2 linked regions of the Macaca fascicularis genome follow. The protein of the gene in region 1 purifies or fractionates together with the protein of each later gene. This does not show direct contact. Links are inferred from orthologs where the notes say so. Each region holds a gene or a part of one and is shown on either strand. Other genes may lie near its edges.

The links. Proteins that work in one complex are often made in the same cells at the same time.
Region 2: the proteins of HDAC6 (region 1) and TUBA1B purify together in Homo sapiens (affinity purification with western blotting; 4 studies listed by BioGRID, with this or other methods). This does not show direct contact. The link is inferred for Macaca fascicularis from reciprocal best matches to the Homo sapiens genes HDAC6 and TUBA1B.

What each region holds. Positions count from the first base shown.
Region 1 is NC_088395.1:48,977,263-48,981,705, forward strand, and holds part of HDAC6 (protein deacetylase HDAC6), read left to right. Parts: intron 1-338; coding exon 339-472; intron 473-1,052; coding exon 1,053-1,121; intron 1,122-1,232; coding exon 1,233-1,425; intron 1,426-2,827; coding exon 2,828-2,977; intron 2,978-4,443.
Region 2 is NC_088385.1:55,942,749-55,947,729, forward strand, and holds the start of TUBA1B (tubulin alpha-1B chain), read right to left. Parts: upstream 3,474-4,981; 5' UTR 3,379-3,473; coding exon 3,376-3,378; exon of another isoform or gene 2,955-3,375; intron 1,807-2,954; coding exon 1,584-1,806; intron 1,467-1,583; coding exon 1,318-1,466; intron 1,017-1,317; coding exon 36-1,016; 3' UTR 1-35. UniProt on the Homo sapiens protein: Tubulin is the major constituent of microtubules, protein filaments consisting of alpha- and beta-tubulin heterodimers. Microtubules grow by the addition of GTP-tubulin dimers to the microtubule end, where a stabilizing cap forms.

The sequences.
Region 1 (4,443 bases):
TGCCTGTAATCCCAGCACTTTGGGAGGCCGAGGCGGGCGGATCACGAGGTCAGGAGATCGAGACCATCCTGGGTAACACGGTGAAACCCTGTCTCTACTAAAAAACACACAAAAAATTAGCCGGGCGTGGCGGTGGGCGCCTGTAGTCCCAGCTACTCAGGAGACTGAGGCAGGAGAATGACGTAAACATGGGAGGCGGAGCTTGCAGTGATCCTAGATAGCACCACTGCACTCCAGCCTGGGCGACAGAGCGAGAAAAAAAAAGAAGAAGGAAGAAAGGAAGGTGAGGGTGAGCTGGAGGGCAGGCTGTCCGATCTTAGCACCCTGCTGCTTCCTAGGTTCTGAATGGTGCTGCTGTGGTGCGTCCCCCAGGACACCACGCGGAGCAGGATGCAGCTTGCGGTTTTTGCTTTTTCAACTCCGTGGCTGTGGCTGCTCGCCATGCCCAGGCTATCAGTGGGCGTGCCCTGCGGTAAGGACTCCCTGGGGACCCCCCAAATCCTGATCCTTGTGGGGACCTGGATGCTCTCCCCAGCCCATTGCTTACTCATCATGCCCCATGGTCCAGCTCCCCAGGACTTCCCCAGAAAGAAGTAAGGGTACAGCCCTTACCCAGAGAAGGACTGAGGATGGAGCCTCTCAGTGCCTATTTAGATAGGACCCCCAGATCATATTACCTGGGTGCTTATAAAACAGGATTCAGGGTCCCACCCCAGCATTTCTGGCCTATAGCAGCTGCCTCGACAGAACCCAGGTCCAGGCTCCTGATGCATACTCCAGAAGACCCAAGAACCAGTCCCCAGCATTAGCTGCCCAAGGCGCAGGGTCCAGTTCCCTAGCAATGACCCAGAAGAGCCCAGGGCCCAGCCCCGAGCACTTGCTCAGGCCTACAGGGCAGCCCTCGGGAACCAGGATCAGACTTTTCTCCTTAACTGATAGGACTAGGGTCCTGCCACTCAGCACTAAATGCCCCTACAGACCCCAGGGGTCTGGCCCAGCCCTCTTCCAGGGGGTGAGTATCCTAGGTTACTGAGGTGCTGTCTTCTCCCCAGGATCCTGATTGTGGATTGGGATGTCCACCATGGTAATGGAACTCAGCACATGTTTGAGGATGACCCCAGGTAAGGGGCTGCAATCAGGGGCCGCAGTGTGATCAGGGAGGTGGGTGAGCACCTCAGGGGTACTGGAGCCCCTAACCAGCCATGGCCCCCTTCCTACCCCCTCCCCGGCAGTGTGCTATATGTGTCCCTGCACCGCTATGATCATGGCACCTTCTTCCCCATGGGGGATGAGGGTGCCAGCAGCCAGATCGGCCGGGCTGCTGGCACAGGCTTCACCGTCAACGTGGCATGGAACGGGCCCCGCATGGGTGACGCTGACTACCTAGCTGCCTGGCATCGCCTGGTGCTTCCCATTGCCTACGAGGTACAGCTCAGGATAGATCGCAGGATGTATGTGACATGCCTGTGCAGGTGGCAGCCTGGACCTGCCTCCTCAGCATGTGTGCGTCTGACTGCCAGGTGGCTGATGATATGAGACAGCCCATGGGTGATTAATGAGGCTACCGGGGCAATTGGTGACTGTGATCACTTTGTGTATTTGCCTGTGCACAGGTGACTATATGACTGCCTTCTCTGTGTGACACTATGTGGGTGACTATCTTGGCTGTGTGTGTGAGGGCCTTCTGACTATGCAGCAGTGGCCCGTGTCCTGGCTGGATCTGTGTTGTGTGTGTGCCATCACAAGTGCTTGAGTATGTGTGTGTGCGACTCTGTGCAGGCATCACCTTTTCTCTGTGTGATGGGTGTGATATTGTATGTCACTAAATGCAACCATCTCTGTGACAGCCTGTGTGGGACCCTCTGGATGTGAAAGGCTGTGTGTTACAGCAGTCACTGTCTGGCTGTCTGCCCTGGCTATTTATGTGTGTGTCTCTGACTGGGAGGTAGCTGCCTTCCCTCTGTGTGAGCTGGGGGGCTAGTGGCTTGCGTATGGCTGACTCTGGGAGGGAGGGCGGGGGTGTGAGCACCACTCTGTCACCCTGGGCGCTGATGTGCATCTTTGGATCTGCACGTGCGCGGGTGGCCAGGACAGCCTTCTGTATGTGTACAACTGTATGTGCAAGTAACCAGCTCTTGTGGACACACCAGAGTGCATGTCACCATTGTTGCTGTGTGGTAATGGCATGTGTATGTGACTCTGCAGGGTGGCTGTGGGTTACTGTCCTCTTTGAGAAACTATGTGTGTGTGTGTGTGTGTGTGTGTGTGTGTACATGACTAGTGCAGATATGTAGTACTGGTCTATATGGGACTGTGTGTGGCAGTACTTGTGGCTCTGTGTGACTATCTTCTCTGTGTGTGGCACTTGCATTGCCATCTTCTGTTATGGAAGTGTGCAAACACCTCTCTTTGACACTATGTATATAAAACCCTATATGTTGTGTATGTGTGTCCCACATTTGACCCTGGGGTGTGTGTGTGTAAGGACATGTCTCTGTCTCTCTGTTTTTCATGTCACTCTCTTGACATCTGAGTCTGTCTCATGTCTCATGACTATGTCTCATGTCCCCATCTGTCCCTTTCTACTGTCTCCAGGTCTCTAAGTCTGCATCTGTTTCTTCTGAGTCTGTATTTCTTTTCTTCCCCTCTTCATTTTCAGTCTCTGCTTCTGCATCTCCCAGTCTGCAGATCCTGTGTCTCCATCTCTCTGACTGGCATCTCCATGTCTTCATTTGTCCTTTTCTCCATGTCTCTGGGTCGCCATCACTTACTATCTACCAAAAGCCCCCACCCTCATGCTTATACATCTCTTCTCTCCCTGCCTCAGTTTAACCCAGAACTGGTGCTGGTCTCAGCTGGCTTTGATGCTGCACGGGGGGACCCGCTGGGGGGCTGCCAGGTGTCACCTGAGGGTTATGCCCACCTCACCCACCTGCTGATGGGCCTTGCCAGTGGCCGCATTATCCTTATTCTAGAGGTAATTCTCTCTTGGTCCCTCTTCCCACAGTGGGAGGGTAGTTTGGAAATGTTGGCACCATCACTCAGGACAGTTTCCTGAAATCTCCTTTGAGTGTCCCTGCCTGGGATTGTTGGCACATACTGGGTAGTAATAAGAATAACAGCAACATTAACAGCCTTAATTGAGTGCTCACTATGTACAGAGCACTCTTCTGAGCACTTCATGTGTCTTATTCATTCAGTTACTTGGCAAGGCAGCCTTATGAGGTAGGGTCAGCTTACCTCATTTTCCTCTCTCAAGGTCAGGGAAACTGAGGCACAAAGAGGTGTGATGACTAGCCTGAGATGGCACATTTACTGATGGCAGAACCAGGACTTGAACCCATGCAGCCTGGCTCCAGGGTTTGTACTTTTTACTCTACCTAAACTGCCTCTAACAAGTTCCTGGGACAAAGGAAATTCACTGACCTTTGTAAATGGCCCAGTATCCCTATGCCCTGTGCCTCAGTTTCCTCATTTTTATGAGGCAGGCTAATCATGGAGGAATATCTGGCATATGGTAAATGCTGAATCTGTTGGATCTGGTTTTTTGTTCTTTTGTTTTTCTTTTTTTTTTTTTTTTTTTTTTGAGGCAGAGTCTCACTCTGTCACCCAGGCTGGACTGCAATGGCACGATCTCAGCTCACTGCAGCCTCCACCTCCTGGGTTCAAGTGATCCTCCTACCTCAGCCTCCTGAATCACTGGGATTACAGGCACCAGCCACCACGCTCGGCTAATTTTTGTAGTTTTAGTAGAGATGGGGTTTCACCATGTCTGCCAGGCTGGTCTTGAGCTCCTGGCCTCAAGAAATCCACCCACCTCAGCCTCCCAGAGTGCTGGAATTACAGGCGTGAGGCACCGCGCCTGGCCCCTGGTTACTGTTATGCATTGTTCAGATATTAATCGGCTCAGCAACCTTCTGTGCTCTTATTCTCTTTTCTTTTCTTTTCTTTTCATTTTTGTTTTTTGTTTTTTTTGAGACGTTGTCTTGCTCTGTTGCCCAGGCTAGAGTGCAGTAGCGCAATCTCGGCTCACTGGGTTCAAGCAGTTCTCTGCCTCAGCCTCCCAAGTAGCTGGGATTACAGGTGCCTGCCACCACACCCAGCTAATTTTTTTGTATTTTTAGTAGAGATGGGGTTTCACCATGTTGGCCAGGCTGGTCTTGAACCCCTGACCTTGTGATCTACCCGTGTCAGCCTCCCAAAGTGTTGGGATTACAGGCATGAGCGACCGTACCTGCCTCTTTTTTTTTCCTTTTGAGACAAAGTCTTGCTCTGTCACCCAGGCTGGAGAGCAATGGCACAATCTCAGCTCACTGCAGCCTCCATCTCCTGGGCTCAAGCAATTCTCATGCCTCAGCCTCCCGACTAGCTGGGACTACAGGCACATGCCACCATGCCTGGCTAATTTTTGTATTTTTAGTAGAGATGGGGTTTCACCATGTT
Region 2 (4,981 bases), on another chromosome or scaffold:
GCATGACATGCTGCAGTGCCAAAAGGAATGGATAATTAGTATTCCTCTCCTTCTTCCTCACCCTCTCCTTCAACAGAATCCACACCAACCTCCTCATAATCCTTCTCAAGGGCAGCCATGTCTTCACGGGCCTCTGAAAACTCGCCTTCCTCCATCCCCTCACCCACATACCAGTGAACAAAGGCACGCTTGGCATACATCAAGTCAAACTTGTGGTCCAGGCGAGCCCAGGCCTCAGCAATGGCTGTGGTGTTGCTCAGCATGCACACAGCTCTCTGAACCTTGGCCAGGTCTCCACCAGGCACCACAGTGGGAGGCTGGTAGTTGATGCCAACCTTGAAGCCAGTGGGGCACCAATCCACAAACTGGATGCTGCGCTTGGTCTTGATGGTGGCAATGGCAGCATTGACATCTTTGGGAACCACATCACCACGGTACAACAGGCAGCAAGCCATGTATTTACCATGGCGAGGGTCACATTTCACCATCTGGTTGGCTGGCTCAAAGCAAGCATTGGTGATCTCTGCTACAGAAAGCTGTTCATGGTAGGCTTTCTCAGCAGAGATGACAGGGGCGTATGTGGCCAGAGGGAAGTGGATGCGGGGGTAGGGCACCAGGTTGGTCTGGAATTCTGTCAGGTCAACATTCAGGGCTCCATCAAATCTCAGGGAAGCAGTGATGGAGGACACAATCTGGCTAATAAGGCGGTTAAGGTTAGTGTAGGTTGGGCGCTCAATATCAAGGTTTCTACGACAGATGTCATAGATGGCCTCATTGTCTACCATGAAGGCACAATCAGAGTGCTCCAGGGTGGTGTGGGTGGTGAGGATGGAGTTGTAGGGCTCAACTACAGCTGTGGAAACCTGGGGCGCTGGGTAAATGGAGAACTCCAGCTTGGACTTCTTGCCATAATCAACTGAGAGACGTTCCATGAGCAGGGAGGTGAACCCAGAACCAGTTCCCCCACCAAAGCTGTGGAAAACCAAGAAGCCCTGAAGACCGGTGCACTGGTCAGCCTGTAGGGAAATAAAAAAAATAATATTTTAATGCCAAGAAACATTCTCTTAGAATTTCTATTTAAAATTCTTAGATTATGAACCATCTCATTGACATAAGCATAAGGAAATGGGAAAACAAACATATCCACAAACTGTCCATAACCTAGGGGACTATCTGATTTAGAAGTCCAATGAACATAGTAAGCAGTCTATTCCACATTTTGGTAGGTGCTAAAGAATGAATGTTGTCAGTCACTCCACCCAACTTGCACTGGTACCATCTCGCCGCATTAAATGCATATTTATATATTGTGCTTACCAGCTTGCGAATTCGGTCCAACACAAGGTCAATGATCTCCTTGCCAATGGTGTAGTGCCCTCGGGCATAGTTATTGGCAGCATCTTCCTTGCCTGTGATGAGCTGCTCAGGGTGGAAGAGCTGGCGGTAGGTGCCAGTGCGAACTTCATCTGGGGGAGGAGGGAGAGAAGGATGGAGGGAGTGGGTGAGTGACCAGCGGAGCCCCCAGGACAGACCTCCTGTCCCAGCATCCTGGGATCTCACTTGGGTTACTGAAGTCAACTCACCAATGACCGTGGGTTCCAAGTCTACAAACACGGCCCGGGGCACATGCTTGCCAGCGCCCGTCTCACTGAAGAAGGTGTTGAAGGAATCATCTCCTCCCCCAATGGTCTTGTCACTTGGCATCTGACCATCGGGCTGGATGCCGTGTTCCAGGCAGTAGAGCTCCCAGCAGGCATTGCCAATCTGGACACCAGCCTGGCCAACGTGGATGGAGATGCACTCACGCTGTGGGAAGGAAAAAGATATCGCAATTTAATCTATTGGTGGCTGTCAGGTGGAACAAAATACTCATGCAATCTTTATTTTTTTAGAGATAAAGTCTGTCACCCAGGCTTGAGTGCAGTGATGCCGTCTAGGCTCAAGGCAGCCTAAACCTCCTGGGCTTGAGTCATCCCCCGACCCCAGCGTCTGGAGCAGCTGGGACCACAGGCACAGGCCACTACGCCTGGCTAATTTTTTCATCTTTTTTTGTGGAGATGAGGTCTGGCTGTGTTACCTAGGCTACTCACGTAATCTTAAAACAAATTTCCTTTTTTAAAGCGACGTAAGACGTACTACTCTTCTGAGAACAGCTTATCGTCTACATTGCTTTTAATGACTGTTACCTTCCCATCCTAAACTGGGAAGGCCTCCTTCCAGACCAATACAGCTCAGTCACAGCTTCCTCCTTTGGAGGACCAAGACAGGAAGGTAGGCATCCACCCAGCGCTCAGGCCCCAGAATACCACTTTAGACTAGGTGGCCACATTTCCGGGCAGCTCCTAGCACAGGAAGCACGTGGCCAGACCAGCGCACAAGAAATGTCGGTCCGCAGGGACATGGGGCGGGGCTCTGCGGCACAGGATGAATGCGCAATTCAGGGCGCGCGCTCTCGCGCCCCCCGGCGGCGCTGCAGAGGCACGAAATGGCCACGTCTGCAAAGGCGCTGCCCAGGCCGCCCATCCTCCCTTGCCCGCCGGCATCGGGCTGGGCCTAACACCTCCACAGCAGTCTGAGCGAAGTTGGGGATTATCGGCGGCCCAGATCTGGGTCAAGATCCGATTTCCGTTCCCTCAAAATCCCTCACTGCCACCACCTGCTCCCCTGAATTCCTAACGCAGCAGAGAGACAGGTGGCCTCTACAGACTGTTGTGGTCGAACTGTCCTAATTCACTGGTGTATAGCGGTACATTGACAGGGCCCTTCCCCACATTCCTCTTATTGCTTTCATTAAAAAAAGAAAACTCAGGTTAACAGGAGACACGCCCTGTAGCCCTAGTCTCGCCGCGACCCAGAGCGCATGCGCAGACTGCAGTGGCGGTTTCCCGCCCAGGAACGGCGTGAAGGTAACGGTCGCGCGTGCGCGCTTTTGTCTCCAGCTGCTTCCCACCCCCGCTTTTCGCGCTCAAGAGGAAGTGAAGGCTGGAAGATGTTAGAGTCCGCGCGCGCGCGCGTCCACCCAAAGCGGGGGAAGGGCATACGCTGGAAAGGACTGCGGGGACTCGAGGGACCGCTCCCAGTACAGAGTTACGCGCTGAAAGAGAGCTCCGGATACGGCAGAAGGCAGCCGGAGCCCCCTCATCCCTTCCAGAGTCCGATAAGAAATCCTGGCGCCCCTCGACCTTTCCGGGCCCCAGCTATTTACACACACCGAGGTCTCACCACTCCCGCCCTGGCCTCTCGCCTTGTTTTCCGCCCTCCAAAAGGACGGCTCTGGAACCAGACCTCCCCGGCTGTATACAGGGTCCCCGCGCCCCGCCAGCTCGCTTTTCCCTGCTTCCCTGAAAGCAGCCGGGAGCCGCGCGGCTCACTCACCATAGTGGCTAGGGATTAGGAGGCGAAGGCGGAAGGAGCAGACACCGGGTCCCGGTTACCGTCCCCGACAAGCTAAGAGTCGAGGTAAGTAACGCACTGGGGCGGGACCGGCGCTGGAGCCTCTTAAGTAGCGGCTTTGGAGAGGGGGCGGGCACAGGCGGTGTCGCGGCCGCGGGCCCCTCCTCCGGCCCAGTGCGCCCACTGGGCGCCCGGCCTGGCCGCCGCAGAGGCGGGCTCCGGGCCCCGAGCCCCCTCCCTTCGCGCGGCCGCGGGGCGGGGTCCTCCGCGCCTGCGGGCCGCGCGCGCCAGTGCTGCAGTGTGCGGCGCATGGCTGCGAGGGCCTGGCGAGGGGCGGGCGCGAGTCGGAAAGACACCGACCAGGGAATGGGTGACGAGGCTTGACTTAATTCGGAGGAAGCCTAGGACTTGAGAGAGCCATACAATTTGAAAGACGAAGCACCGTGAAATGCAGAAAGTTGTGGTTCGGATAGCTCAGCTGATTAATTTCGTGTTGCCACAGTTTGTCAGTGAGTTTTGCCTTTTTATTTTCGCAGTTCCTTTTAAGGCAGTGCATTCTGTACTTACCTGATAATGTGAAAAACGCGAGCTTTAGAAAACCGAATAGGTGTACATGGTTTACTTTAATGACTTGTTCTCCAAAGTAAGAGTACCAAATGCTGAAAGCAAGTAGATATTCAGTCATTCGAAGAGTGCCCAAGCATTTAACATTGAAGCTGTTAAAAGGGCAAAGTAGGCCCCAATTTTAGATCTAAGCCATCAATTTTATGAAACAGTTCTAGGGGCTTTTTGAAAAGGAGATTTAAAAACACATTTCAGTGGTGGTAGCTGAGTTGAAGAAGTGAGGAAAGAATTGGATAGGGAGGAAATAAATTGACACTGAAGGATGTTAGGAAGTAGAGATTCCTTGTGCAACTTAAGAGTTTTGTAAATAAGACTGCTTGGCCTTGTGTCAAGATACATCAATTGGTTATAGCTTAGTGCTTGGAGGCCCACATTATAGGAGTAGACTAGGTCTCCCTCCGCCCCGCCCCTGGAAAATCTATTTCAAGACGATAAACCACATTGCTAATCCTTGGAAATGCAGAAGGTGGTTAGGTTTAAAATGTGGCTTTAAAATGGTCCTAGCCGAAACGTATTGATGTTACTATTCAGAATATCTGCCCAGTATAGGAGGAACAAAAAGGTTAAACCTAAAACACTAAAAATTCATAGTTCATATTCAGTTATTAGCCTATTAAAATTTGGTGCAGCCTTCATCCTTCGCACCGAATTTCAGACAAATAGCAAATTTATGTGGTTAATAAGTGTATGTTGTAAGGAGTTATATATGTGTATGTCTATATATGTGTGTCTCCACCCATCTGAACCTGACCTGCAGACCAAGAGGTTCTTGTTTATTTCTGATAGTTTTGGTAGTCTTGTTAAAGGCATTTGATTCAAAATCCAAATTTGCACACATTTTTCCAACTGGGTAGAGGAGGCAGGAATATATTTGAATATTGTTCTCACTTATTTTGTTCCTCTTCTTATTCTTAAAAAAAAAAAAAAATTAAGCCTGTCAATTTTAGCAGTGAGGGATGGTATA